Stegostoma tigrinum: one gene and its partners. The protein of the gene in region 3 binds, or shares a complex with, the protein of the main gene of each other region. Links are inferred from orthologs where the notes say so. Each region holds a gene or a part of one and is shown on either strand. Other genes may lie near its edges.

The links.
Region 1: pigc (region 3) and phosphatidylinositol N-acetylglucosaminyltransferase subunit Y-like share a complex: the UniProt entries of both Homo sapiens proteins name them as parts of the glycosylphosphatidylinositol-N-acetylglucosaminyltransferase (GPI-GnT) complex. The link is inferred for Stegostoma tigrinum from reciprocal best matches to the Homo sapiens genes PIGC and PIGY.
Region 2: pigc (region 3) and pigh share a complex: the UniProt entries of both Homo sapiens proteins name them as parts of the glycosylphosphatidylinositol-N-acetylglucosaminyltransferase (GPI-GnT) complex. The link is inferred for Stegostoma tigrinum from reciprocal best matches to the Homo sapiens genes PIGC and PIGH.

What each region holds. Positions count from the first base shown.
Region 1 is NC_081370.1:36,822,754-36,831,235, reverse strand, and holds phosphatidylinositol N-acetylglucosaminyltransferase subunit Y-like, read right to left. Parts: upstream 3,620-8,482; coding exon 3,404-3,619; 3' UTR 2,602-3,403; downstream 1-2,601. Other genes in the region: protein preY, mitochondrial-like, read right to left, coding at 3,713-3,863, 5,983-6,174. UniProt on the Homo sapiens protein: Part of the glycosylphosphatidylinositol-N-acetylglucosaminyltransferase (GPI-GnT) complex that catalyzes the transfer of N-acetylglucosamine from UDP-N-acetylglucosamine to phosphatidylinositol and participates in the first step of GPI biosynthesis.
Region 2 is NC_081363.1:80,333,363-80,344,134, reverse strand, and holds the start of pigh (phosphatidylinositol N-acetylglucosaminyltransferase subunit H), read right to left. Parts: upstream 3,932-10,772; 5' UTR 3,876-3,931; coding exon 3,702-3,875; intron 1,250-3,701; coding exon 1,040-1,249; intron 1-1,039. UniProt on the Homo sapiens protein: Part of the glycosylphosphatidylinositol-N-acetylglucosaminyltransferase (GPI-GnT) complex that catalyzes the transfer of N-acetylglucosamine from UDP-N-acetylglucosamine to phosphatidylinositol and participates in the first step of GPI biosynthesis.
Region 3 is NC_081387.1:9,165,569-9,176,341, forward strand, and holds the start of pigc (phosphatidylinositol N-acetylglucosaminyltransferase subunit C), read right to left. Parts: upstream 4,059-10,773; 5' UTR 4,009-4,058; coding exon 3,831-4,008; intron 1,069-3,830; coding exon 999-1,068; intron 1-998. UniProt on the Homo sapiens protein: Part of the glycosylphosphatidylinositol-N-acetylglucosaminyltransferase (GPI-GnT) complex that catalyzes the transfer of N-acetylglucosamine from UDP-N-acetylglucosamine to phosphatidylinositol and participates in the first step of GPI biosynthesis.

The DNA of each region.
Region 1 (8,482 bases), on a different chromosome or scaffold from region 3:
GTCAAAAACAGGTGGAAATTATACAGTGAATGGCAGAACCCTTAGCAGTATTGATAGGCAGAAGGATCTGGGTGTGCAGTTCCAGAGATCACTGAAGGTGGCAGCACAGGTAGATAAGGTAATTTTGAAAAAAAAAGGAGCTTATAGCATCAGAGATAGTAAAACCTGCCAATGCTGGAATCAGAGATAACAGTGTGGAGCTGGCAGAACACAGCTGGCCGAGCAGCATCAGAGGAACAGGAAAACTGACGTTTCAGGTCGGGACCCTTCTTCAGAAATTATGGCATGTTTGCCTTCATTAGTAGGGAGATTGAGTATAAGGATAGACAAGTTACGCTGCAGTTTTACAGAACTTTAGTAAAGCCACACTTTGACCTATTATTTATCGTTCTGATCACTACACTATCAGAAGGATGTTGATGCTTTGGAGAGGATAGAGAAAAGGTTTACCAGGATGTTGCCTGGTATGGGGGATTCTAGCTGTGAAGAAAATATGGCTAGGCTGGGTTTATTTTTCACTGGAATGAAGGAGGTCGAAGAGTGACCCAATATGATTTTAAGATTGTAAATGGCATAGATAGTGTGAAAAGTGCAAAGCTTTCTCCCAGAGTGGGGGCTCGGTTACAAGGGTTCACATGTTCATGGTGTGGTGGTGGTCGGTGGGGGGGGGGGATGGTTTGTAAGGAGATGGACTTTCTAAGAGACTTGCGAGGCACGTTTTTCACACAAAGGGTGGTGAGTGGCTGGAATGTGCTGCCAGAGGAGGTTGTAGAATCCGGCACAATAGCAGCATTCGAGAAGCACCTGGACGAATACATGAATAGGAAGGAATAGAAGTATATGGATCCTGTAAGTGAAGACAGTTTTAGTATGGAAGAGCAAAATGTAGTGGCCACAAGTTTAGAGGGCCGAAGGGCTCCATTCCTGTGGTTTTATTCTTTGTTCAAATGGGACTTTATGACAATTGACAAAGCATTATGGAGGCTAGTTTTATGTTAGCCACTGTAGTAAAATTTTAACATTTGTGCCCAAAACAGTAACCTGACCCTCTGACCCATCTGTCGAGTGACAGTACCATTACACCACTTGTCTCCTCTACTATATTGGCCTTGGAGTAACTCAATAGAGATTCCTCAGAATGATAACCAGTACATAGAAGGTTAAATTATGAAATGAGGTTTCCCACATCACTATTGGCCAAGTTATAGAAAATTAAGAAAGGTGCTCCTTTGGCACAGTGGTTGTGCCGATAGCCAGGAGGCTTGGATTCCAGTCCCGTCTGCTCCAAAGGTGATAACGTCAGAATAGGTTGATTAAAACAATTTGAGGGGTGGTTGAATTGAAATGTTTAAGATGATAAAGAGATAGACAAAAATTGTTTCCTCTGGTGATTTCTAGAACAAGGTGGCTCCTCTTTGTCTATACCATTGGTTACATCAAAACAAACCTTGAATTTGTCAAGCAATTTCCTTTTTATAAACAGAGATAAAGGGAACTGCAGATGCTGGAGAATCCAAAATAACAAAGTGTGGGGCTGGATGAACACAGCAGGCCAAGCAGCATTTTGAGAGCACAAAAGCTGGCGTTTCGGGCCTAGACCCTTCATCAGAAAAGGGGGATGGGGAGAGGATTCTGAAATAAATAGGGAGGGGGTGGTAGGCAGACTGAAGATGGATAGAGGAGAAGATAGTTGGAGAGGAGAGTACGGGTGGCGAGGTAGGAAGGGGATAGGTCAGTCCGGGGAGGACAGACAGGTCAAGGGGGCAGGATGAGGTTAGTAGGTAGGAAATGGAGGTGGGAGGAGGGGATAGGTGAGAGGAAGAACAGGTTAGGCAGACAGGGACAAGCTGGACTGGTTTTGGGATGCACATGTCTATCCTGGGCCTCCAGCAGTGCCATAATGATGTCACCCATAGGTTGCAGGAACAGCAACTCATATTCCGTTTGGGAACCCTGCAGCCTAATGGTATCAATGTGGATTTCACCAGCTTCAATATCTCCCCTCCTCCCACTGCATCCCATTGAAGCAGAATTTGCAATCTCTGGTCAACTTCACCCCATCTTAACTGAGGTAAAAAATATCCAGTCTACAGCCAGACAGTCTAGTGATGGAGATGAAACATTTGCTTCAAATTGCTTTATTTAAAGATAACTCAAACTGCATGGTATGGAAATAATCATCTGCTTTCAACATGTAGATGACTCGAACTGCTCATTACCAGTAACTTAGTTTACAATGACAGGTCATTCCATGGTTGTATTAAGTTTTCAGCAACTTCTGACCTAGACTGATTCTAGCCTATTCTATGCCCAGCTTCTTCTGAAGAAAATTCAGTAAAGGAAGGGCTCCCAGTCCTAATAAAAGCAAAATACTGCAAGTGCAGGAAGAGTCATTCTACACTTGAAATGTTAGCTCTGTTTCCCCCTCCACAGCTGCTGCCAGGCTTCCTCCAGCACTTTGTTACTTCCCCCTGATAAGGCATTTCATTAATTATAATACACTTTGGGCCATCCTGAAGTACTTTTGAAGTGAAGTCATGGTTGAACCATTGAAAATGTGACAGCCAACATATGCCCAGGAAGTTCCCACAAACATCGATATGATATTTGCCAGATAACATGTTTATTTTTTCAAATGTTGTTGCTTGAAGGACAGACATTAGTCAGATAGCCAATGAACACTCCCCTGCTTTTCTTTTAAATAGCACCATGGAAGTTTTTACTTCTACACAAGGGAGCAGACAGGGCTTTGGTTAACATTTAAAAGAGAGCATTTTTGACAATGTGATATTTTCTCAGTACTACACTGGAGTATCAGCAAACATGGAACTTAAACTACAACCTTCTGAATCAAGAAATCATTGTACTACCTACCAAGCAACGTGTGAAAGTAACAGAATACAGGCAAGGAAACTCAAATACAGACCACAAGTGTGGCTAAATACCCAGGCAAACAGCAAGTGTCTTCGAAAGCAAGGTCAAAAGCACCAAAACTAAACCTTTGTTATAATGAATTTCCATGGTTTATTTGCATCTGACATTGTGGTGGAATTTGATGTGACTTTGGTTACACTGTTTCTTCAAGACAGAAATCCGTATCGAACTGGTTCAAATGGACTGCCTGTTAATGTCTCCTGCATTGCAGTCACTGGGAATGAAGCCAATGGAACTGAACATTACCAGAAAAATGTACCATGATGAGGCAAAAGTGAATGCCTCGCATTTTGTGTGTAAGGAACAAGTTAACCAAAACAGTGCCAATTTCCACCAATAATACACTCAAGATTCTAAATACCTCCAAGCCAATGGAAAAACCTTGTTACTGAAACTAAATTTCATTTGAGAGGTTGATGCCGTCAGGTCACCACAAACATCATCATACGCAATAGCTTTTGAACTCAAATTAGTTATGCCTGAAAAGTTTAATCCCCATCCAGCTCCATAGGTGAAAAAATACAAACACTGGGATAGTGATGGGGAGTAGTAGGCTGTAGAAACACAAGCTGGCCATACTAGTGCAGCCCTGTGGAAAATCCTTGTCAAATGCAGCTGAGTACAACAGCCCAGCTAAAGAGAACAGGGGAACCAGCACTGTGAGAGTTGACAGATAGATTGTCATTATCTTGCAATACGCAAGATAAGCTCCCTCCCTTTAAAATAATCTCAAACTTCCAGAGTTCCCCACCACTTCCAGAAGCAATGTGTGATCCGTTTACTGCTGTGAAAGTTCTTCCGCCTTGGGTGTGTCTTCACTCTTGCGAATTAACTTTGCATCCTGAGGGATCATGTTGGGAATTCCATCGACAACAGGATAGGCTATTCCCAACTCATCATTGATCAGCTGATTGGAGGATTCATCATATCTATAAAGGTGACAGAAGCAAAGTATTAAACTGCAGCTCATTCAAAATGAGTTGGAACTGGAGTCTGCCCTTTTAATCTGGTTGAAAATGTTATGTTTCAAAAGGCAATATCTTTCTATGATTCTCAAAACATTTCCAATTTTCAAAAGAGTTGGAAAGACAAGCGAACACTTCTGCATTTACACAGTTTCTTTCACAAGCTCAAGAAACCTGATATTTTCATCAGCTGATTGCATGTAATACAAGTGTTGTGGTCGAGGGTCAGTGGGGAGAACTGCCAAGCTGTTGTGCAAAATTGTAGCTTTGGGAGGGTATGTTGCTAACTGACTGATTTAAAAGGTGAAACATAGCCAGGACAGAAACAAAACAAAACAAAACATGAAAAATAAATGTGGGGAAATTGTTATCTTTAACAACAAACTGATAATTTTATTAAACTCAACTTCCTTTGGTACAGAGATCAGAATTGATCTGCTAAACAAACCCACTTTTCTGGTTCAGATACTGTTAATCTTGTATGTATTTCCATTCTTCTCTCTACACTTCCCTGAAGATGTTTACTTTTTGATGGGATGGAGTTCTTCAATCATTTGTAGCTTAGACTCAACAAGGAAATTATTATTTACACAAGTATCTTAAAAGCAAATGGTAAGCTATTTGATTGAGAATGGTGTTGCAGTCAAGACACTCATAGACATACTTGCTAAATCTTCAGGATGAAGAATCCATGTAGGCGTTTCATCCCTCTCCTCTAACTAAACAGGATTGAAGTCAATTGTATAACAGTTCTGAGCTTCTAAAATGAAGAACGAACAGCCCCAAACCAAAAAGCCATTCCTGCTCTGGCTACAGTACATAAATGGCAATACTATCAAGGAGGCAGAACCATTGCATCTATTTACTTCCCACAAGCCACTTCCTTTGATTTGAATACTCTGAATGTTTCTGGTGTACAATCAAGACAAAAATTCCTCCAGTCTAAAGGCATCAAGACATCCTGCTTTTGTTCAGTCAATCTGCTGACAACCCATCACTTAGCAAGCACACTCACATCAGAATCAGGAAACCAGGTGTTTGAGTCTCACCCCAGAGATGTGAGTCTACAAACCTAGGTGGATACAGCCACTACAGTACTAAGGGAACATGGCACTATCTGGGGACAGGAATTCAATACAGAAGGACTGCTGTACTATTCAAAAGAAAAAGCTGGACAGTTGTCTGGTATTCACAGAACATAAGAACTAGGTGTAGGAGTAGACCAGCTGCCATTCAGTAAGATTATCGCTGATATTTTCATGGCCTCAGCTCCACTTATCCACCCTCTCATTCTAACCCTTAATTACTTCAGTGGGCAGAGAATTCTGCCAATTCACAACTCAATTCAGTGCCAAATCTGCTTCCTGTAATTTTGAGGCTATGTCCTCTTGTTCTAGTTTCTCCCACCAGTGGAAACATGCTCCTTGCTTCTATTGACTCATTTCATAATTGTAAAAGTTTTTTATAAATCCCCCTCATTCTTCTATAAGAATGTTCATCTGTCTCCATCATGAAAAAAGACTGCTGGTCAATATCACATCCTTGTTTGCATATCTGTACATTACAACAGTGGAAAGGTACTTCACTAATTCAGAAACATCTTCAGACGTTTGGTGGTAATGAGAGGCACTATATAAATACTAGTTGTTTGCATTATTTTAGAGAACATTTTGTGTTGGCATTGCACAGTAGAAACATCCACAGAGCTGATGGGAGTCCTCTCCTTGCAGTATTAGGTGCTCTGAGATTATCCACCTTCCTCCAGGGCCACAATGAAACCCAGATTCCATTAAAGGTCCTCGGAACGGTCTTTCACTTTGCAAAATCCTGCTTTGAGGCCAGTTCAATCCCTTCCCTGAACCCGCTCCAGTTCCCTTCAACTCAAAAATCAAATTCATTGTTCCTACTCTCTGCCTCCATTCCGCTCCGCCATCCCGAATTGTGAAGAGGAGACCATTCAGACGATCAAGAATGTGCTAGCACTTCTTAACAGCAATCTAGTTATTTTCAGCGACTCGTTCTCCTGTTGCTAGACATAGGATATCTCCCCTGTCCTAGTCTCTGACCTTCCCCAAGGACGAACCTGAGCTGCTTTCTGGACAGGGGACACACCAGATACGGGAGCAGGGTCGGGTCCAGAGCAGCCTTCCTGTCTCCCTCCCCGGTTACCGATTCTCCTGACAGCCTGGCCCGGGAGAGATGCAGAAGCCTCCGGGCCGCTCCCCGGATGCGAGACCCGTACCCAACCCGAATCATTCCCACCCGAAACTCCAGACTCACCACCAACACTTCCGCATCCGGGCTAAAGCACTAGCCCCGCCCCCTCCACCTTTCACCCCCATTGAAAAGGGCAAATGCTGCTGTAAATTGTAGAGCTCACTCACTTTCAGGAAGATGCTGTTCCAGAAATTGAACGAATAAAGGCGACTCCAATCAATTAAAAGTGCCATTAGGTACCAAACTGCAGCAAAATCTGTGTCATACACATCTGCACTGCAGATACCCAGCTTTCCCTCCTGTCAACTGCATCAGATTTCTCACCATCTCTAATACTGGATTATCAGACATTTCCTCTAAAACCGCCTTGAAAGGACAGACACCACTCTCTTCAATCTATGTCACAAATCCTGTTTTCTGATTTTTAAGGCTGTCTGTGACCACTTGCTGAGGTTAAACTCAATGCCATTTGAACCCATGATTACCCTCCAAATGCTTCAAAACCAAGACTACATATATTCAGCTCACAGCCACCTGCCTCTGTTCTTCAGTTGCTTAAGCACGAATGGTGTCTTTTTACCTTGATTTAGGTTTGATCATTCCAACACAACCTTGTCACCCTCAATATAACTTGAGCTCAGCATTTAAAATTCTACAGTTCATATTCTAACTCACATCAATTTCGGTTAATTCTAACCCTGGATCCTGCTGAACTGCATCGAGCCACAGTCTGACAACACCTCAAACTTAGAATGCTCATCCTTGTTTTTAGATTCTCACTCTTCTCTATCTCTTGCAATTTCCTTCAGCCCTAAAGTATGCCAACATCTCAGAGTTTCTCCAAGTGTGACCTCTCGAGCATCTCTGACTTAAATCACTACCCCACTGGTGGCGGTGCCTTCAGATGCCTGAATCCTAAGGGCTGGAATTCCTTACCTTCCACTCCCTTATCTTTATAGACTGTTTGAAATCTATCTCTTTGACCAAATCTTTAGTCATCCACCCTCATTAGCTGTGTGTCAGCAGTGGCTCAGTAGGGAGGACACTTGCTTCAACATCATAAGAACAAGTTATCAGGTCATAGAACATAGAAAAATACAGTGCAGAACAGGCCCTTCGGCCCTCGATGTTGCGCCAACCTGTGAACTAATCTAAGCCCATTCCCCCACACTATCCCATCATCATCCATATGCTTATCCAAGGACTGTTTAAATGCCCTGAATGTGGCTGAGTTAACTACATTGGCAGGCAGGGCATTCCACACCCTTACCACTCTCTGGGTAAAGAACCTGCCTCTGACATCTTTCTTAAATCCATCACCCCTCAATTTGTAGCTGTGCCCCTTCGTACAAGCCAACATCATCATCCTAGGAAAAAGACTCTCACCATCCACCTTGACTCATCTTTCTCTGATCGTCTTGTATGTTTCTATTAAAGGCCCTCTTAGCCTTCTTCTCTCCAATGAGGACAGACTCGAGTCGCTCAGCCTTCTCTCATAAGACCTTCGCTCCAGACCAGGCAACATCCTGGTAAATCTCCTCTGCTCCTTTTCCAATGCTTCCACATTCGTCCTGCAATGGAGCGACCAGAACAGGTCGCACGAGTGTTTTGTGCAGTTGCAGCATGACATCACAGCTCTGGAACTCAATCCCTCTACCAATAAAATCTAACACACCGTATGCCTTCTTCACAGCACTATCAACATGGGTGACAACTTTCAGAGATCTATGTACATGGACCCCAAGGTCCCTCTGCACATCCACACTACCAAGAATCTTTCCATTGGCCCAGTATTGTACCTTCCTATTATTCCTCCCAAAGTGAATCACCTCACATTTATCCGCATTGAACTCCATTTGCCACCTTTCTGCCCAATTTTGCACTTTATCCAAGTCTCCCTGCAACCTGCGACATTCTTCCACATTGTCCACCACTCCACCGACTTTAGTGTCATTTGCAAACTTAATAACCCATCCACCTATGCCTGCGTCCAAGTCATTTACAAAAATGACAAACAGCAGTAGGCCAAAAACAGATCCTTGAGACACACCACTAGTAACTGGACTCCAGGCTGAATATTTTCCATCAACCACCACTGGTTGCCTTCTTACCGAAAGCCAGTTTCTAATCCAAACTGCTAAATCTCCCTCAATCACATGGCTCCGTATTTTCTCCAATAGCCTACCATGTGGAACTTTATCAAAGGCTTTACTGAAGTCCATGTCCACTATGTCAACTGCCCTTCTCTCATCCACATGCTTGGTCACCTCCTCAAAATCTCCATGAGGTTTGTGAGACACGACCTGCCCTTGACAAATCCATGTTGACTATCTCCAATCAAATTGTTGCTTCCGAGATGATTATAA
Region 2 (10,772 bases), on a different chromosome or scaffold from region 3:
CACATTCGTTTTAGTCTCCAGCATCCTGTCTGCTCCACCTTGCCCCAGTGCTTTTCATGAACAACTACACATTTCATATTGTTCAAAGATTCTTTCGTTGAATGTGTATAATCCTGAAAGCTTACATGTTCTTAATTTACATTTTTGTCTTCCTTTAATACTTCACGACCCAATTTTTAAAAAATTTCAATTCAAAAGCATTTCGATACATATGGATCCAGAAATGAAATACTGTGGATCTTGGAAATCTTGAAATAAAAACTGAAAAATGCTGGAAACATTCAAGGGGACAGGCAGCATCTAAGCAGCAAGAAACGGAGTTTGTCATTTCAGATCTTTTGTCAAAGTTGGGAGAAATTAGAAGTTTAACAAGTTTTGAGGAAAACAGGAAACCAGATAAAACAGAGTGGCATGGCAATTTCCTTTCTTTGATGACCCTAGCTGACGGGAGTTGGGAAGCTCTCAGCAATGGAAGCTCAAGAAACAGCATTTCATTTTCCAGTTAGGTGCTTCAATGGTGTTCAGTTTAGTTCAGGCGGCTGGAAGTTGGGTTGTGAAGCAGTGTGATGCCAAGAGCGTGGGTTCAATCCCCACATCAGCTGAGGTTACCACGAAGGGCTCTCCTTCTCAAGCTCTCCCCAGACTAGAGGTGTGGTGGCCCTCAGGTTACATCACCAGTCCTCTCACACTCTCACTCACCAGAAACCCATGGTCTGACTCCCAACACACATTTCAACAGTAGGGCACTTCAAAAGAAAAAAAAATAATTTGAGATACTGGAGGTGATGAAAAGCATTGTACCAATGTGAATTCTGATTGTGGCCTATCAATTTTCTGACAGCAGCTATGCAATTCTCAAATTTCATGTAGTGTTTATTACAACATTAAAGACAGAAGATGCAGTTTCTCCAGGACTGAATAGTTTAAACAAGGAAAGTGTTCAAACATTAAACAGTCCTTCACGTTCAGGTTCCATATTTGTTGTTACTCTGCAGTAGAGTGTCAGTAACTTAAGGAATCATTACTCCGTCTCACTTACCATATAAATGGCTTCATTGATCACAATATCTTTCACCTTCCTCATCTCAATGAATCTCACACTCTCTCTGCCAGAAGCATACACGGTGTTCATCTGGACTCCAATCGATCCAATGATCAGCATTGACTCCTGATCAATCTTAAATAAGTGGAGGTGCAGCATCATCCCAACGAGAGTCAAAACAATGGAAGCTGAGAGCACTAGAGTGTTCTGCAAGAAGCAATTTGCAACAAAGACTATCAGGGCAGTTCCTGCAACCTGTTCACGAAGCCAACTTGAACTTTTAATAATGGAAACTGAAAATGCCCAGCAGGTCTGCACCCAGTTCTGATTACAGATCATGGACCTGCAACGTTAACTCTGTTTCACTTTCTACAGATGCTGAGTTTCTCCAGCATTCTCTGCTTCTATTTCTGATCTCCAGCATTCACAGTACCTCACATGTATTAGAAACTGCCCTTTATTTTGTATCACTGCCTATTAAAATGCATCACTACAGATTTGTTATTATGAAATAACAATAGGGAATCTAATCCAGTCTGCTATATGTCTGACCAATAATTCTGCCTACGTCCTCTTGAGGTATATTACTTCTCTTCACTGTTCACAACAATACTTCCAATTTTTTGTCATCTACTAATTACACCCTGTGCAGTTAAGTTTATTGTCATTATATAGATCAAGACTAACAGTATGATCCTGGTACTGATTCTTGAGGGAACCCTCCTATGCAAAACAAAAGTCAGCTTTTTATTACTACACTGTCTCCTGTCACTCAGCTAACTGCGTAGCCAATGATACCACTATGTCTTTTATTCTGCAGGATTTAGCTTTGTTGCAGAGCCAGGATGTGGCCCTCTAATACATAGCTTTGGGAAGATGATTCACACTACATCAACTCTCTGTGTGAGTGCCGCAGAAAAAAAAACTCTTAGTCAAATGATTTGCTTTAAATAAATCCACGCTGACTTTTGTTTGTTAATCCACACTTGCTTACTGACTGCTTATTATGTCCTATTTTATCTCGACTGCTTTCCACCAGCGAGGCTAGAGAGTGACTGACCAATAGCTGTTGGGATTACCTTTATATCCTTTCTCAACAAGGGTGTAACATTTGCCCTCTGGCACAAATGAGTATTTGAGGAAAAGAAGATGATTATGGCTAGCAAGTCTGAAATTTCAACTCTTCACACTGCATCCAGTCCTGGGGATAAATCAACTAAGTGCACAACCAGCCTGTCTAATGTTATGTCTTTATCAAGTTCCTCAAGGTTGTGTCCATGGCAGAATTGTACTCAACTGCTTTTGTCAATGATCTTCTCTCCATCAGAAGTGGGAATGCTCAATGATTGCACAATGTTCACAATTCATTACCAGCCTGTCTAATGTTATGTCTTTATCAAGTTCCTCAAGGTTGTGTCCATGGCAGAATTGTACTCAACTGCTTTTGTCAATGATCTTCTCTCCATCAGAAGTGGGAATGCTCAATGATTGCACAATGTTCACAATTCATTACTTCTCAGATACTGATAGAGGCCATGTCCAAACGCAACAAGTCGTGGACAATATTCAGTGTGGGTTAACAAATGGCATGTCTCACACTCACTTCAGCAAAAGAAAATCTAACCATCACCCCTTGGTATTCAATAGCACTGCTACCAGTGAATCCCCACTATCAATATCCATTGACAAGAAACTAAACTGGTCTCGTCATACAAGTACAAAAGTGGGTCAAATGTTAGAATTCTTGCATGCCCATAATTCCCTAAGCCTGTCGGGCATTACAAGGCACAAGGCAGACGTATAACAGAAAACATTCCACTTGCCGAGATGGGTGCAGTTCAAACAACTCAAGAAGCTTCACACGATCCAAGTCAAAACAGTTGGCTGATTGAATTTGAATGTAGTGCCACTCTATCCACCAATGCTCTGTAGCTGCAGTGCGTACCATCAATAAGATGCACTACAAAAATTCACTAGGACTCCTTACACAGTACCTTCCAAACCCACATCAAGCTAGAAGGACAAGGGCAACAGAAACATGGGAATACCACCTCCTGCAAGTTCCACTCCAAGTCACTCATAATACAGACTTAGAAACATATCAACATTCCTTCACTGTCATTCAGTCAAAATCCTGGAACTCCCTTCCTAAGGGCTCTCTCTACCGACAGCACCAGCTTAAGGGGTAGCTAGAGAGGAAACAATAAGTGTTACCCATGTTCTGTGCGTGAGTGAAGGAATGAATTTATATTTAGTCCACCCATTATGAGTCACTGACGGAAAAGACAGGTATAAAGTGTTCATTTAGTACCTAGCCATGCCCTGCAAATACTCCCAGGTTGAGGATGCTAGCACATCGCTCACCTATTGAGCCCTGAGGAGTCACCTGTTAGGGTACTGCGCATGTGCGAAGCCGGACTGCGCACCTACAACGCAGTGGGGCGTGGTCACGACCTTGCGCGACAGGAGCAGGGGCCAATCGGTCTGGACAGCACCGGGGACGAGGCGTTCCCAGGCTATGACTGATTGGGGCGTCAGCCAATCGCAAATTGATCGCTGCCCGCCTAAAGGACTGGGACACACGTCATCAGGCCCCATCGTCCAATTAGTAGGTGTCCGCACCTCCTCCCACCCCCCCCCCCGGGGCCAACCCACCTACCTGCGTCCTGTTAAAGATGGCGTAAGCGACCAGCCAGATGGCGGCCGTGCACCCCAACACCGAACGCAGGGACATTTTCGGCGACAGGATTGTGAACTCGCGGCAGAGCGGCGAGTGGTGTCTTTGTTCGAGGGTGATGCAGCGGCCGCTTAGGTCTTTGAAAGTCGACGCCATGTCTCCCAAGCCCTGCTGGTGACGTCACGCCGCTGGGTGCGCCTGTCCACGTGACTGCGTGGGAACACCTGGCCTTTTAAAGGGACAGGCCACCTCCCCCAATCAACCAGGAGGAGCACCTTCAAACAACTGAAAGGTGCCAAGGTGCACTTACTTTGCAGCTAGCATCATGAAAATGGGGAACTTCCCTCACTATCAAAATCAAGGGGCTAATATTTAGTGATAATGGGAACTGCAGATGCTGGAGAATCCAAGATAATAAAACGTGAGGCTGGATGAACACAGCAGGCCAAGCAGCATCTCAGGAGCACAAAAGCTGACGTTTCGGGCCTAGACCCTTCATCAGAGAGGGGGAGGGGGTGAGGGTTCTGGAATAAATAGGGAGAGAGGGGGAGGCGGACCGAAGATGGAGAGAAAAGAAGATAGGTAGAGAGGAGAGTATAGGTGGGGAGGTAAGGAGGGGATAGGTCAGTCCAGGGAAGACGGACAGGTCAAGGAGGTGGGATGAGGTTAGTAGGTAGGAGATGGAGGTGCGGCTTGGGGTGGGAGGAAGGGATGGGTGAGAGGAAGAACAGGTTAGGGAGGCAGAGACAGGCTGGGCTGGTTTTGGGATGCAGTGGGTGGAGGGGAAGAGCTGAGCTGGTTGTGTGGTGCAGTGGGGGGAGGGGACGAACTGGGCTGGTTTAGGGATGCGGTGGGGGAAGGGGAGATTTTGAAACTGGTGAAGTCCACATCGATATCATTAGGCTGCAGGGTTTCCAAGCGGAATATGAGTTGCTGTTCCTGCAACCTTCGGGTGTCATCATTGTGGCACTGCAGGAGGCCCATGATGGACATGTCATCTAAAGAATGGGAGGGGGAGTGGAAATGGTTTGCGACTGGGAGGTGCAGTTGTTTGTTGCGAACCAAGCGGAGGTGTTCTGCAAAGCGGTCCCCAAGCCTCCGCTTGGTTTCCCCAATGTAGAGGAAGCCGCACCGGGTACAGTGGATGCAGTATACCACATTGGCAGATGTGCAGGTGAACCTCTGCTTAATGTGGAATGTCATCTTGGGGCCTGGGATAGGGGTGAGGGAGGAGGTGTGGGGGTAAGTGTAGCATTTCCTGCGGTTGCAGGGGAAGGTGCCGGGTGTGGTGGGGTTGGAGGGCAGTGTGGAGCGAACAAGGGAGTCACGGAGAGAGTGGTCTCTCCGGAAAGCAGACAGGGGTGGGGATGGAAAAATGTCTTGGGTGGTGGGGTCGGATTGTAGATGGCGGAAGTGTCGGCGGATGATGCGTTGTATCCGGAGGTTGGTGGGGTGGTGTGTAAGAACGAGGGGGATCCTCTTTGGGTGGTTGTGACGGGGGCGGGGTGTCAATTAAGCAGCAACGCGACTGGACTTGCCATATAAATAACTGAATGGCTACAAGAGCAGTTCAGAGGTTAAAAACACTCGTCTCCTGACTCCTCAAGGCCTGTCCATCATCTACAGGGCATAAGTCAGGGGTGTGATGGAATACTGGCCAGGTGCCTGACTAGTTACAGCTCCATTAACACAGCTTGATGCCACCGATGATTAGTTACAGCATTGTGTACTGTCTACGTAAGATGCACTGCAGAAGTTCAAAGACCATCAGACTGCACCTTCCAAATTCATGACCGGTTCCATCTAGAACATAGTCAACAGTGAAGAAAGTTATGTAAGATTACAAAGGAAATTGCAATCAATTGGCCAATGGGCCGAGGATTGGCAGATGAAGCTTAATTTACATAAATGCAAGGTATGGCATTTTGCTACAACAAACAAGGGCAGGTCATACGCAGTTAATGGTAGGGCCCTGGGTAGTGTCGCCGAACAGCGAGACAGAGGGGTTCAGGTAACAATCCTTTGAAAGCTGCATAAGACATAGTTTGGTTAAGAAGGGGTGTATGTGTGTGTGTTTGTTAAGAAGGTGTTTAGCAAGCTTGATTTCATCACTCAGATGTTTGTGTAGAGGATTTGGAAAGTCATGCTGAGGTTGTACCGGATGTCAGTGAGGCCATTTTTGGAGTACTGTGTACACTTCAGGTCATCCTGCTGAAGGATGGTTCGGAAAATATTTACCAGGATTTTGCTGGGAATGGAATAGGCTGGGAATTTTGTCACTGGAGTGTAGGAGTTGACAAGTGATCTTAAAGATTTTTTGAAATCAGGAGGGACATGGATAAGTTAACTGCAAAGGTCTTTTCCCTAGGGTGGGTGAGTTCAAAACTAGGGGACGTATTTTTAAGGTGCAAGGAGAAAAATTTAAAAGGGACCTAAGAGACAAGTTTTTCACGCAGAGGGTGGTTTGTGTGTGGAATGTACTGCCAGAGAAAGTGGTAGATGCAGGTACAGTTCCGGCATTTAAAAGACATTTGGATAGGCACATGAATAGGGAAGGTTTAGAGGGATATGGACCAAATGCAAGCAAGTGGGGTTAGTTTAGTCTAGGGAAACTTAGTTGGAATTGACAAGCTGGACCAAAGGGTCTGTTTCCATTCTGGATGACTACTGGGGAAAACCACCCCTGCAAGATTCTGTCCAAGTCATTCGCTATCCTGATGTGGAAATATCAGCATTCCTTCACTGTCATTGGGTCACAATCCTGGAATTGCCTCCCTCAGGATGCTGTGGTCTACCTATAGCACATGGGCTGCAACAGTTAAGAAGGCAGTTGGTGGGGGGGGGGGGGCGCGGTGCGAGCATTAACTGCTGACCAGCTAGTGATGCCCACATTCCCCTCAGTGAATTTAAACAAAATAGAGAGATTTCCACAGCTACCCTGCTGGTTCTTTCCCAGCATTTTCTGTTCATTACAGATTTCCAGCATCAGCAGTATTTTACCTTGTGAAATGCCAGAATTCCTGTTGAAAGGCCAGTTAACAAAACAGCCAGTGATTGAAACTCTAATACAAAGTAACCAATTCTTAAAAGAAAGGTGCTGTTTTAAGAAAAAGAAGGAATAACAAAAGTTGCAGTGTGCATCGATTGTTCGAAGAGGTCTGTGGCTAACCTTTTGTTTTCCCCTGCTTTTGTTTTTATGTGGGATGTGTACTTAGAAGGCAAGGCCAGCATTTGTTGATCACCTCAAATCTGAGTGGCTGGTCTGGCTTCCACCATTTTGCTGTGGATCTGGACTCTGCAAGGCTGGCAGATTCCCTTCTCGAAAGGACATGCTGGGGCAGCATGGTGGCTCAGTGGTTAGCACTGCAGTCTTACAGCGCCAGGGTCCTGGGTTCGATTCCAGCCTCGGGCGACTGTCTGTGCAGAGTTTGCACGTTCTCCCTGTGTCTGCGTGGGTTTCCTCCGGGTGCTCCGGTTTCCTACCACAGCCCAAAGACATGCAGGCTAGGTGGATCGGCCATGCTAAATTGCCTGTAATGTTCAGGGGTGTGTGGGTTATAGGGGGATGGGTCTGGGTGGGATGCTTCAAGGGGCGGTGTGGACTTGTTGGGCCAAAGGGCCTGTTTCCAGGGAATCTAATCTAAACATTGCTTGGTCAAGTCAACATTAGTGAACTAGTTGAGATTTTATAACAATTGATGATGATGATGATGATGATGGTCAGTTGTCTTTGCTGAGACCAGCGTATTTTTCCCGTGTGTTAATAGACGGAATTTAAATCTCACCAGCCGAGATCCAAAACTGTGCCTTTGGAGCATAAGTCAGGCCTCAAGATTACCCATTCCGGCAACACAACCACTATGTCATCAATTCGGGATTTGGTGCGGAGTGGTAGATTTTGGTGGAAAAGTACAAAACAAAAGGGGGCAATTCTAAAAAAAAAGCCCAGCATCGGAGAAGCCTGGTGCCATAAGGTGCACAAACTGTTGAAGGTGACGAGGCATCTTGAAATAATGCTGTGAAGGCACACAGGATCGTGAGCCTTATTAGTTAAAACACTGACTACACAAGGAAGAGCGTTTTGGTGAGTCCTTATAGAACACTGGTCTGATTCTGATTGGAGTATTGTTGCTCAATTTCAGGCACTGCGTTTTTCAGACAGATGTGAGGGCCCAACGAAGGGTGCTGGAAAGAGTCACAGGGGTGGGTCCCGGTATGAGGTACCAGGTAGATTGGAGCTGCTGAGGTTGTTCTCCTTGGAAGAAATTACGACGATATTGGACGAAAGCGATGGGGTCTAGCTCGAGTGGATAGGAGGCAATGCGTTCCTATTGGCAGAAAAGTCGTGAACAATGATATAAGGAGATTGGCAAAAGAACCAATAGCTTTTGTTTTATGTGATGGGTGATTATGATTTAGAATGCTCTGCCTTAGAGCGCAAGGGTGTCAGATATAATTTTGACTTTCTAAAGTGAATTGCGTAGGAAGTGATGTAGAAATTTCTAGGACGGGGCAGGGTGAGGCTGACTGATTTTCTCTTGTAGAGGGCTGGCATGAATTCACTAGCCTTCATCTATACAGTAACCATTCAATGATGCAACGGTCAGGGTGTAGAATGAAAATGCTGCCCACCACACCTTACATGTTCTGCCCATCTGCCATCAGTGCGACATGGCTTCAGAGTGTACCATCAGCAAGACACACTGCATCATCTCACCTTAGCTTGTTTGATCAACTCCTTTCAAGCCTGTAGCTTCCAACACCTTGACGTACAGGAACAGCAGATACAAGGGAACAGCATAATTTCCATGTCATGTATCGACCTGACATGAAAATATTTAAATCATCGCTGTCTTAAAATCCTGGAACTTCCTCCCTGACAGCAATGTATTTGTAACTATGCCACATGCATTACAAAGGCTCAAGAAGGTGGCTCATTACCACTCTGTCAAAGGTAATTGGGGTTGGGAAATAATGCTGCCTTTGCCGGTGGCTCCTACGTAAGGAAGGACATTGGCTACAAAACAAATCCCAGGAATTAAGGTGGTGGGGGGGGGGGTTCATCACTCTGCCAGAAAGCATTAATTGGTGAATAACTGATTTAAGTTCGGGACCACTAATGTCCGCTAGATATATAAATGACGCAGACTAAGTAAAGGGAAATATAAGGATTTGCGGCTAATTCAAATTGGTGTTATCTTGAAATGAATTTTAATCTAGAGAAGTATTTTGGACCGTGGAACAAGGAAACTAGTTTTCAAATAGGGTAGAGGGGTGTGATGCTCTCGAAATACAGACACATTAATACCTGGAAGATAATAATAATTATAAATGAGGTTTTGGAACTCATTTCTAGAGGCAAATGACTACAGAGCTGGGAGGTAATGTTAATTTTATGGAGAACCCTGGTTTGAGATTGAGTAATGGGAGCACATCTGATCTGTACACTCTGTAAAATGCACAAAGGTTTTACTAGGATATTGCAAGATTTCAGAGGCTGCAGCTGTTGAAGGAAAGAATGAAGCAGGCTCGAGCCGTTATCTCTGAAGAGAGGACTGAGAGGCGACCTGATGGATATCTTGAAAACCAGAAACCTACTTTTCACTTGTGGAAACTTTGAGATCAAATAAAACATAGAGGAATTTCTTGCAGAGAGAGTAGTACGAAAGATCTCCACCTCATGGAGTGGGCAGAGCAAATTGCATTGATGGATTTAAGAAGAAGCTTGATTCACACATGCAGGAGAAGCCATTGGAGCAGCACTGAGGCAGTGTGGGAAGAGGTAATTAGTGTGGGAGGACGCTCATGTAGAGTATAAACATTGACACAGATCGGATGGGCTCAATGACTTGTTTCAGCTATTGAGTATGGCAATCCACCGAATGGAATATAGCAATGTTACATGTTCCATCTGCCTCATAAAAGACCTTACAGCATGATTTCAAAGTAGTCCACGTACTGGTGCCCTAACCAACATTCATCTCTTAACCAATTCCATTTCGCTAGTCATTTCACAATAGCCTTGTGGATCTGAAAGGCCATTTGGCCCATTTGATCCGTTCATTTAGATAAATCTGGAGCATCCCTGCTCTCTTACGGTATCTACATATTGCTGAACTTACTCCAGGAGTGTTCACTACTCCATGTAAAAATACCCATTACAGTTCAGTGGGTAATGCTTTTGCCTCAGTTGGAAGATCATGGGTTCGAGTCTCAATCCGAAGACCTGAGTATGTGATTTGAGTTGACAGTCCAAAACAGTGCTGTCAGAGGTACAGTTCTCGGGGGAGGTGTCAAACCGATGCCCCAGTTTCTCTCTTAGATGGATGCCATCCCTCCTTTGATGCAATTAGATGTCCACTCCAGTTTCTTGACCAATATTTCTCTGTGGCCAACATTGCTGAAAGAGATGGTCTGGTCATTATCACTGATAACACAGCATCAAGCTAGAGGAACACAGCAGGCCAGGCAGCATCAGAGGAGCAGGAAAGCTGTCATTTCGGGTTGGGACCTTTCTTCTGAAGGGTCCTGACCTGAAACGTCAGCTTTCCTGCTCCTCTGATACTGCCTGGCCTGCTGTGTTCCTCCAGCTCCACACTGTGTTGTCTCTGACTCCAGCATTGGCAGCTCCTCTGATCATTGTCACTGCTCTGTTTGTGGGAACTTGGCCTGTGCGATCTTACGCTGTCATCAAGATGATCGGTGATGGAACCGGAGATACGAGACACCTCCTCCTCCTCTGGTGGATTGGCTGCGGCCAAGCAAGGAGCAGCCATTGGTGAGCCAATCGATTGGCTCCTCATTGGTGAGCTTGGCGAATCCTGTGTGAAGACAGGCAGGAAGTTCATGCCACCTGCCATGACATCAGGGTTGAATTATCCAAGTGAGCACCCATACTGGCGCTCAATCTACAGACGCCAACAGTGTCGGTCTGGTTCTGCAGCCACCTCGAGTCTTGTAGCAAGGCTCCCCTCAAATACCTTCTGCTTTTGCTGCCATTTGTTTTCAGGGAGAAAACCTCAGAGAAAATATGACATGGCCCCATGCTTCCAT
Region 3 (10,773 bases):
CAGTGTGGAAACAGGCCCTGTGGCTCACCAAGTCCACACTGACTCTCGTGGCATCCCAACCAGACCCATCCCCCTATAATTCACCTAATCTGCACATCCCTGAGCACTGTGGACAATTTAGCATGGCCAATCCACCTAGCCTGCACATCTTTGGACTGTGGGAAGAAACCGGAGCACCTGGAAGAAACCCACACAGACATGGGGAGAATGTGCAAACTCCACACAGACAGTCGCCCGAGGGTGGAATCGAACCAGGGTCCCTGGCGCTGTGAGGCTGCAGTGCTAACCACTGAGCCACCGTGCTGCTCTTGGCACAGCAATTTGCCTTGCAAACCCGAGAGATGCAGCACGATGAGTTCTTGCCTACACAGTGTAGGCAAAACGCAGACTGGGTCCACAAATTTGGCCCTGAGCTTCTAATGGCCTGTTTGTTGAAACCTGTCTCCATTGCTCCCACTCTGAACTAGAGCATCACTGACACTGTTCCAGTGAAGGTCAGTGCAGAGTCACTGAACAGCATCTGACCTTTCAATTAGGCAATTTACAACATCTTAGACCTAACCACAAGCTCAACAATTTCCTAGCACATCCATTTGTGTTTTTGGTTTGGCTTTGAGACACCTACTATTAGCTCTGATTCTGCATGTGCCATTCACACCTCCTCTAGGCCCCTCTTTTGTTTCATTACTTGTTCCTTTCCCACTTCCTGTGGCCTTCCAGCACCCTCCCTTTGATTATTTAATCTGTCCTGCTTTCCACTCTGCCAAAGACTGTAGCTTTGTATTTTTTGCCTCTCATCCTTCCTCCTGTTGCTATCTCCATAACTTGCCTAAATCCTGTTGCATCTTGAAGGTCAGCATGTTCAAATGAAAAGCCTAAAGTGTTCATACTGTTTCACTCCCTCCAGATGCTATCTCCTCTGCTGAATTATTTCCTGCTTCCTCTGGTTTTATTGCATATTTCCAAAGTGCACTCACAAAGTGGTGTGCTGTGCTTACCTGGACAACTGATGGATGACAACACTGGATTCACACACCACCGTCCATACCTGGTACTGGCGCACATAAACTAGAACAGAAAACAGAACTTATGGTGACAAAATCATAGGAACATGGGACTTTGGGCCAAGAGTAGTACATTCACCCTTTTGAGTTTCCTAAGTCATTCTTTACTCAGAGTAGTAAGGGCGTGGAATGCCCAGCCTGCAACCGTAGTAGACTCGCCAACTTTAAGGGCATTTAAATGGTCATTGGATAAACATATGGATTATAATGGAATACTGTAGGTTAGATGGGCTTCTGATCGGTTTCACAGGTCGGTGCAACATCGAGGGACGATGGACCTGTACTGCGCTGTTATGTTCTATGTTCTACAAGATCAGGGCTGCTCTGATTGTGATCTAACTCCACTTTCCTGTCCACAATGCTACCCTTTCCACCTTCCTCCCAGTCCTCACCTCTTGTGAATCTAAACTCTATCTAACTTAGCCCGAAATAACGTCAACTCCTATACTCTGTTCTACAGCCTTCTGGACTCAATATTGAGTTCAACTATTTTAGGACTTGAGGCACCTTCTCCTCCGTCCTTACCACAAGCCCTGGACATGAGGCCTTGTTATCACATGGGCTACTATTACAAACAACCCATCATTGATAACTATTCGTCCTCCTAGGCTGATCATTATCTGCACTTACCTAATACCGTCAAAATTGGCCTTTCTCCAATTTAGAACTTTAACGCTTATGTGGTCTATCCATTTCCATCACTATTCTAAAATGAATAGAATTATGGTCACTGGAAGTCCCATTCTATTCTTTTTTCTTTATTCATTCATGGGGGTGAGGGTATTGCTGGCCAGGAAGCATTGATTTCCCATCCCTAATTACCCAGGGGGCAGTTATGAGCCAACCACATTGCTGTGGATCTGAAGTCACATGTAGGCCAGACAAAGTAAAGATGGCAGTTTCCTTCCCTGTAGGACATTAGTGAACCAGATGGGTTCTTCTGACAATCGACAATGGATTCATAGTCATCATTATTCTTAGATTCCCCTCCCCTTCCCCCTCATTCACCGAACCCCCTCCCCTTCCCCCTCCCTCACCGATCCCCCTCCCCCTCCCTAACCGATCTCCCCTACCCCCTCCGATCCCGCCTCCATTTCCCCCTCACCAAACCCCCCGCTCCCTCCCTCACCGATACCCCTCCCCCTCCGAACCCCCCTCCTCCTCAGATCACCCCTGTCCCTCCCACTCCGATCCCCCTCCACTTCCCCCTCTGATCCTAACACCTCCCTCACCGATCCCCCTCCCCCTCCCTCACCGATCCCCCCTCCCCCTCCCCCTCCCTCACCGATCCCCCCTCCCCCTCCCCCTCCCTCACCGATCCCCCCTCCCCCTCCGAACCCCCCCTCCCCCTCAGATCCCCCCTGTCCCTCCCACTCCGATGCCCCCTCCACTTTCCCCTCTGATCCTATCCCCTCCCTCCCCTTCCCCCACCGATCCCCCCTCCCCTTCCCCCTCCGACCCTACCCCCTCCCTCACCAATCCTCCCTCCGCTTCCCCTACGATACTCCTCCCCCTCAGATCCCCCCGTCCCTCCCACTCCGATGCCCCATCCACTTCCCCCTCCGATGCCCCATCCACTTCCCCCACCGATCCCCCCCTCCCCTTCCCCCTCCGATGCCCCATCCACTTCCCACACCGATCCCCCCCCTCCCCTTCCCCCTCCGATCCCCCCCTCCCCTTCCCCCTCCGATCACCCCCCTCCCCTTCCCTCTCCGACACCCCCCTCCCCTTCCCCCTCCGATCACCCCCCTCCCCTTCCCCCTCCGACACCCCCCTCCCCTTCCCCCTCCGACCCCCCCTCCCCTTCCCCCTCCGACCCCCCCCTCCCCTTCCCCCTCCGACCCCCCCCTCCCCTTCCCCCTCCGACCCCCCCCTCCCCTTCCCCCTCCGATACTCCTCCCCCTCAGATCCCCCCGTCCCTCCCACTCCGATGCCCCATCCACTTCCCCCTCCGATGCCCCATCCACTTCCCCCACCGATCCCCCCCTCCCCTTCCCCCTCCGATGCCCCATCCACTTCCCACACCGATCCCCCCCTCCCCTCCGACCCCCCCCTCCCCTTCCCCCTCCGATCCCCCCCTCCCCTTCCCCCTCCGACCCCCCCTTCCCCCTCCGACCCCCCCCTCCCCTTCCCCCTCCGACCCCCCCCTCCCCTTCCCCCTCCGACCCCCCCCTCCCCTTCCCCCTCCGACCCCCACCTCCCCTTCCCCCTCCGACCCCCCCCTCCCCTTCCCCCTCCGACCCCCCCCGACCCCCACCTCCCCTTCCCCCCCCGACCCCCCCCTCCCCTTCCCCCTCCGACCCCCCCCTCCCCTTCCCCCTCCGACCCCCCCCTCCCCTTCCCCCTCCGACCCCCCCCTCCCCTTCCCCCTCCGACCCCCCCCTCCCCTTCCCCCTCCGACCCCCCCTCCCCTTCCCACTCCGACCCCCCCCTCCCCTTCCCCCTCCGACCCCCCCCTCCCCTTCCCCCTCCGACCCCCCCCTCCCCTTCCCCCTCCGACCCCCCCCTCCCCTTCCCCCTCCGACCCCCCCCTCCCCTTCCCCCTCCGACCCCCCCTCCCCTTCCCCCTCCGACCCCCCCCTCCCCTTCCCCCTCCGACCCCCCCTCCCCTTCCCACTCCGACCCCCCCCTCCCCTTCCCACTCCGACCCCCCCCTCCCCTTCCCTCTCCGATCCCCCCCTCCCCTTCCCACTCCGATCCCCCCCTCCCCTTCCCACTCCGATCCCCCTCACCCTCCTCCCCCTCCCCCACCCCGCTCCCACTCACTATTTTTCCGCAGTTCCTCCAGGAAGCTGCTGTCGACGAAGTTATCGGGGAAAGGCTGCCTCTCGTACAGGACCTTCTTCCAGCGGCCAGGCCGAGGTCGGGACCGGGACCGGGTCCGGTTGTCCGAGGCCCTGCGGCCAGAGGCAGCGGCCTCCACCGGCTCCAGGTCCGCCCTCATCCAGAGACAGAGTCAGAGTCCGGGCTGCTGGCAGCCGGTGGGGGCGGGGAGGGCCCGGGCCGGAAGTGAGCGGCCGTCTCCATGGAAACCACCTGGCGTCCGCCGGAAGTATGTACGCTTTTTTCCCCATCGGGGGCTATTCAAGTTAAAATGACAGGTTCAGCGCAAGCGTACTTCCGATATAAAATTAACTGGTTTATTTTTAAGCTGTTCGAAAGCTGACAGGGGGTCAAGGAATTGGCGGTGGTTGAGGTCACGTCCGCCATCTTTGACACTGGCGGATTTGGTCTCGGCGGGCGCCATCTTTAATATTGGCGGGTTTCTTGACATCGTGATCACCATCTTTGATGCTGGCTGATTTTTGGTGCCGTCAACGCCATCGATGCTGGCACTCCCGTTGGTCGTCTTTTTGTCCGCCATCTTTGATGCTGGCATATCACCTTTGAGAACAGAGGCGCCTAATATCCTTGCTGTTGCCCAGACACAGAGTGGGTTCACCCCATCATCTGTATCTTCGAGTACAACGTGCCCTAACCAGCACCAGCACTCGGTGATGTGCTCTTCTTTTACCTCAGCGAAGCCAATCTCCTCCCCTCCACCTGCTAGGGTTGCTGAGAGCCCCTAAATGGAGCCCAGTTCATTTCCCTCACTTTTCACTGTCACTCACCCCACCCACTCCCAACAAGGCGATTACTGAATATATTCAAGAAAGATATTAGGATTCAAAGGAGAATCAAGATGTAAGGGGAGAATCGATGATGTGACACTGCGTTAGACTATGGGTCTTGATTGCCTTGAATGCTGGACCAGGCTCATCCCTCGCTCCCTGGTACCGTGAGGCAGCAAGTGACTCCTGTGCTACCCTATTCAGCCCATTCAGTTGTTCCAGTTCTTTGGTGGAACAACTGAAGTTCTGCTAAATTTCAGGCCCATAATTTATCCATGACTTAACAGAGAATTCCCACACTCAGCAAAATTCAACCATGGTCCATTAGCTCCCACTACCAAGTAATTCTCTTTCACTTAGCCCTTGCATCCTCAAAAAGGAATGCTATATTTCTGTGCTATTGGTTTACATTTATCAGCAGTGAAAACTCACACCCATCTCTGTTGCCACGCTGTTTGGCGAGTTTGCTGATGTTACGAACGTTCTGCTTATTCTGAGTTCTGAATGTCTTTAATTGGCATCACATGCACTTTGCGATAATGACCTTTGACATGACCGAATGTAGCATTAAGATGCACAAGGTAGAAAACTCTGCACTGGTTGGAGCCATAACCTGGCACATGGGAAGTGGTTGTGTGTTGGAGATGAATCATACTAGCTCCAGGCATCTCTGCAACAGTTCATCAGGTAAGTGTTCTAGGTCAAACCATCTTAAGTGACAGAAGGGTCCAGACCTGAAACGTCAGCTTTCCTGCTCCTGTGATGCTGCCTGGCCTGCTGTGTTTATCCAACCATCTTCAGCTGTTTCATCAATGACATTCCCTGCATCATGCAGTCAGAAATGGGAATGCTTGCCGATAATTGCACAGTGTTCAGCGCCATTTGCCACTTCTCAAATACTGAAGTAGTCCATGTGCAAGCACAGAAAAATGTGGACAATATCCAGGTTTGAGCTGACAAGTGGCCAGTAATATTTGCATGATAGAAGTGTGAGGCAATGACCATCTCAAACAAGACAGACTTTAACCATTTTCCATTGACATTGAAAGATTTGGGTGCCCCCTCAACGAACTTTAGGAGCTAACACGGTGGCTCAGTGGTTAGCACTGCTGCCTCACAGCGCCAGGGACCCGGGTTCAATTCCACCGTCGTGCGACTGTCTGTGTGGAGTTTGCACATTCTCCTCGTGTCTGTGTGTTTCCTCTGGGTGCTCCGGTTTCCTCCCACAGTCCAAAGATGTACAGGTTAGGGTGGATTGGCCATGCTAAATTACCACAGTGTTCAGGGATGTGTAGGTTATGTGGGTTATGAGGGATGGGTCTGAGGGCCAGTGTGGGCTTGTTGGGCTGAAGGGCCTGTTTCCACACTGTAGGGATTCTATGATGCAGGTGAGGAGGTTACGTTGTTGGCCTCACCTTTACAGTTGGAGACGTTGAAAGTCTGGGGCCCTCTGCCACGTCTCTCGCTCCATCGCGGCATCTGGCGTCTGAGCACAATGATTCAATTGCTGAATGTGCAAGATCACAAGCCACCAACTGCAAGGAAGTGTCCACTCATGTAGCTCCACCAATGTTGGTGAGGCCATCAACTTCGGCAATGAGGGTGTGGGACATAGAACATAGAACAATACAGTGCAGAACAGGCCCTTCGGCCCTCGATGTTGCGCCGACCTGTGAGCTAATCTAAGCACCTCCCCCTACACAATTCCATCATCATCCATATGCTTATCTAAGGACTGTTTAAAATGCCCCTAATGTGGCTGAGTTCACTACATTGGCAGGCAGGGCGTTCCACACCCTTACCACTCTCTGAGTAAAGAACCTGCCTCTGATATCTGTCTTAAATCTATCACCCCTCAATTTGTAGCTATGCCCCCTTGTACAAGCTGACGTCATCATCCTTGGAAAAAGACTCTCAATGTCCATCCTATTTAATTCCCTGATCATCTTGTATGTCCCTATTAAATCCCCTCTTAGCCTCCTTCTCTTCAATGAGAACAGACCCAAGTCCCTCAGCCTTTCTTCATAAGGCCTTCGTTCCAAACCAGGCAACATCCAGGTAAATCTCCTCTGCACCTTTTCCAATGCTTCCACATCCTTCCTGTAATGGAGCAACCCGAACTGTACGCAATTTTCTAAGTGAGGCCGCGCTAGCACTGTGTACAGTTGCAGCACGACATCACAGCTCCAGAACTCAATCCCTCTACCAATAAAACCTAAAACACCGTAAGCCTTCTTAACAGCACTATCAACCTGGGTGGCAACTTTCAGGGATCTATGTACATGGACATCAAGATCCCTCTGCACATCCACACTACCAAGAATCTTTCCATTGACCCAGTATTCTGCCTTCCTATTATTCTTCACAAAGTGAATCACCTCACATTTATCAGCATTGAATGCCATTTGCCACCTTTCAGCCCAATTCTGCAGTTTATCCAAGTCTCCCTGCAATCTGAAACATTCTTCCACACTGTCCACCACTCCACTGACTTCAGTGTCATCTGCAAACTTACTAACCCATCCACATATGCCTGCGTCCAAGTCATTTACAGAAATGACAAACAGCAGTGGTCCCAAAACAGATCCTTGAGGCACACCACTAGTAACCGGACACCAGGCTGAATATTTTCCAGCAACCACCACTCGTTGCCTTCTTATAGAAAACCAGTTTCTAATCCACACTGCTAACTCTCCCTCAATCCCATGCCTCTGTATTTTCTCCAATAGCCTACCATGTAGAACCTTATCAAAGGCTTTACTGAATTCCATTTACACCACGTCAACTGCCCTTCCCTCATCCACATGCTTGGTCACTGTCTCAAAAAAGTCACGGAGGTTTGTGAGACACGACCTGCCCTTGGCGAATCCATGTTGACAATCTCCAATCAAATTGTTGCTTGCTAGATGATTATAAATCCTAGCTCTTATAATCCTTTCCACAATTTTTCCTATAACAGACGTAAGGCTCACAGGTCTATAATTACCTGGGTCATCCCTACTGCCCTTCTTGAACAAGGGCACAACATTTGCAATCCTCCAGTCCTCTGGTACTAAACCTGTAGACAATGAGGACTCAAAGAACAAAGCCAAAGGCTCCGCCACCTCCTCCCTGGCTTCCCAAAGAATCCTCGGAAAAAATCCCATTGGGCCTAGGGTATTTATCTACCTTCACACCTTCTAGAATTGATAACACCTCCTCCTGACTAACCTCAATCCTTTCAATTCTAGTAGCCCGTAACTCAGTCTTCTCCTCTACAATATTCTCCTGTTCCTCAGTGAAAACAGATGAGAAATATCGTTTAGCGCCTCTCCGATCTCCACAGGGTCCACACACAACTTCCCACTTCTGTCTTTGACTGGCCCTATTGCTACCCAAGTCATCCTCTTATTCCTCACATACCTATAGAAAGCTTTAGGGTTCTCCTTTATTCTACTCGCTAATGTCTGCTCATGTCCCCTCCTTGCTCTACTTAACTGTCTCTTTAAATCCTTCCTAGCTAATATGTAACTCGCCATTGCCTCATCTGAACCATCTTGTCTCATTGTCACATAAGCCTCCCTCTTCCGCTTAACAAGAGACACAATTTCTTTAGTAAATCTCGGCTTCCTTACCTTATCACTTCCTCCCTGCCTGACAGGGACATACCCATCAAGGACACGCAATATCTGCTCCTTAAACCAGCTCCACATTTTGATTTTCCCCATTCCCTGCATTTTGCTACCCCATTCTATGCCTCCTAAGTCTTGCCTAATCGCATTATAATTGCCCTTCCCCTATCTATAACTGTTGCCCTGTGGCATGTTCCTATCCCTTTCCATTGCTAAAGTACACAACCGAATTATGGTCACTCTCTCCAAAGTGCTCACCTACCACTAAATCAAACACCTGGCCTGGTTCATTACCAAGCACCAGATCCAATGTGGCCTCCCCTCTTGTCGGCCCTGCGACATACCGTGTCAGGAAACCCTCCTGCACACATTGGACAAAAACTGATCCATCCGAAGTACTCGAGTTATCGCATTTCCAGTCAATGTTAGGGAAGTTAAAGTCTCCCATAATGACCACCCTGTTCCTTTCACTCCTGCCCAGAATAGCTTTGCCGATCCTCTCCTCCACATCCCTGGAACTTTGCGGAGGCCTATAAAAAAATCCCAGCAGTGTTACCTCTCCTCTCCTGTTTCTGACCTCAGCCCATACCACCTCAGTAGATGAGTCCTCATCAAAAGTTCTTTCGGCCACCGTTACACCACCCTTGACTAACAAAGTCACACCTCCCCCTCTTTTACCACCTTCCCTGATCTTAATGAAAGATCCATACCCTGGAACCTGCAACATCCATTTCTGACCCTGCTCTATCCATGTTTCCGAAATGACCACAACATCGAAGTCCCAGGTGCAAGCTCACCTACCTTATTCCGGATACTCCTGGCGTTAAAGTAGACACACTTCAAAACAGCTTGCTGTCTGCCAGCACACTCCCATGACAGTCAGGTCCTGTCCATAACCTCCCTACTCTCTTCCTCCTATGTACTGGAACTACACATCAGTTTCCCATCTCCCTTCTGAAATAGTTTAAATCCACCCGAATAGCACTAGCGAATTTCCCACCCAGGATATTAGTGCCCCTCTGGTTCAAGTGGAGACCGTCCTGTTTGTAGAGGTTCCACCTTCCCCAGAATGAGCCCCAGTTGTCCATGTACCTGAAGCTCTCCCTCCTGCACCATCCCTGCAGTCAGGTGTTCAGCTGAAATCTCTCCCTGCTCTTTGCCTCGCTATCACTTGGCATGGGCAACAAGCCAGAGATAACCACTCTGTTTGTTCTAGCTCTCAGCTTCCACCCTCGCTCCCTGAAATCCTGCCTGACATCCCTATCCCTCTTTCTACCTATGTCGTTGGTGCCTATATGGACCACAACTTGGAGCTGGTCACCCTCTCCCTTCAAGACCCCAAAGACGTGATCCAAGACATCATGGACCCTGGTACCTGGGAGGCAACACACCAACCGTGAGTCTCTTTTGTTCCCGACAAACCTTCTATCAGCCCCTCTAACTCTTGAGTCCCCAATGACTATCACTCTCTTCCTATCCCCCCTTCCCTTCTGTGCAAGAGGGACAGACTCTGTGCCAGAGACCTGTACCCTACTGCATGCTCCTGGTAAGTCGTCCCCCACAACAGTATCCAAAACGGTATACTTGTTTTTCAGGGGAACGACTGCAAGGGATCCCTGCACTGACTGCTTTTTCCTCTTTCTAACAGTTACGCAGATTTCTTCACGCTTATGAGTAACTACTTCCCTGTAACTCTTGTCTATCACTGACTCTGCCTCCCGAATGATCCGAAGTTCATCCAGCTCCCGCTCCAGTTCCCTAACGCGGTCTTGGAGGAGCAAGAGTTGGGTGCACTTCCTGCAGACGAACTTGGATGGGACACTAATGGCGCCCCTCACCTCATACATCATGCAGGAGGAACATTCCTCTACCTACACTGCCATCGCTGCTTATCCCCTAATCAGAAAGTTTAAAAAAAAGCTTACCTGGTGTGTTAGGTTCGAGGAGGTGGGTGGGTGGGAGGCCCTATAAGGATAGGGTCTCGGATTTAGAAAACAATCACTTATATAGCTGAGGGGATAAATAACGTCCCTCCTTTCCCAGAAACCTCTGCTCTCCAAGGTGCGGCTGCTCACAACAGAAATGGAGGGCTCCGATGCTCGAGGTAAGCTTTTAAAGATTTAAAATCACTGACTCACCTGCTTCCCGACAGGCCCCTGGTCCAAGCTCCTGCTCTTCCTGCTCCTCACAACAGAAAATAGAAGGAATGTCACAAAAGTGAGGGATTATGCTGGTATCCTGTGTCACATGGCATCGGGGGAAATGATTGTTGAGGGATGTGATCTAGTCCAATGACCGGATGGACATCTGTACAAATCTGAGCCACCTCTATGAATGTCCCAGAATATCCGCAACATCATCACCTCAGGTGACCTCCCGCCCACAACCTCCAACGTCATTGTTCCCCAACTCCGCACTGCCCGCTTCTATCTCCTTCCCAAAATCCACAAACCAACTGCCCTGGTTGCTCCATTGTCTCAGCCTGCT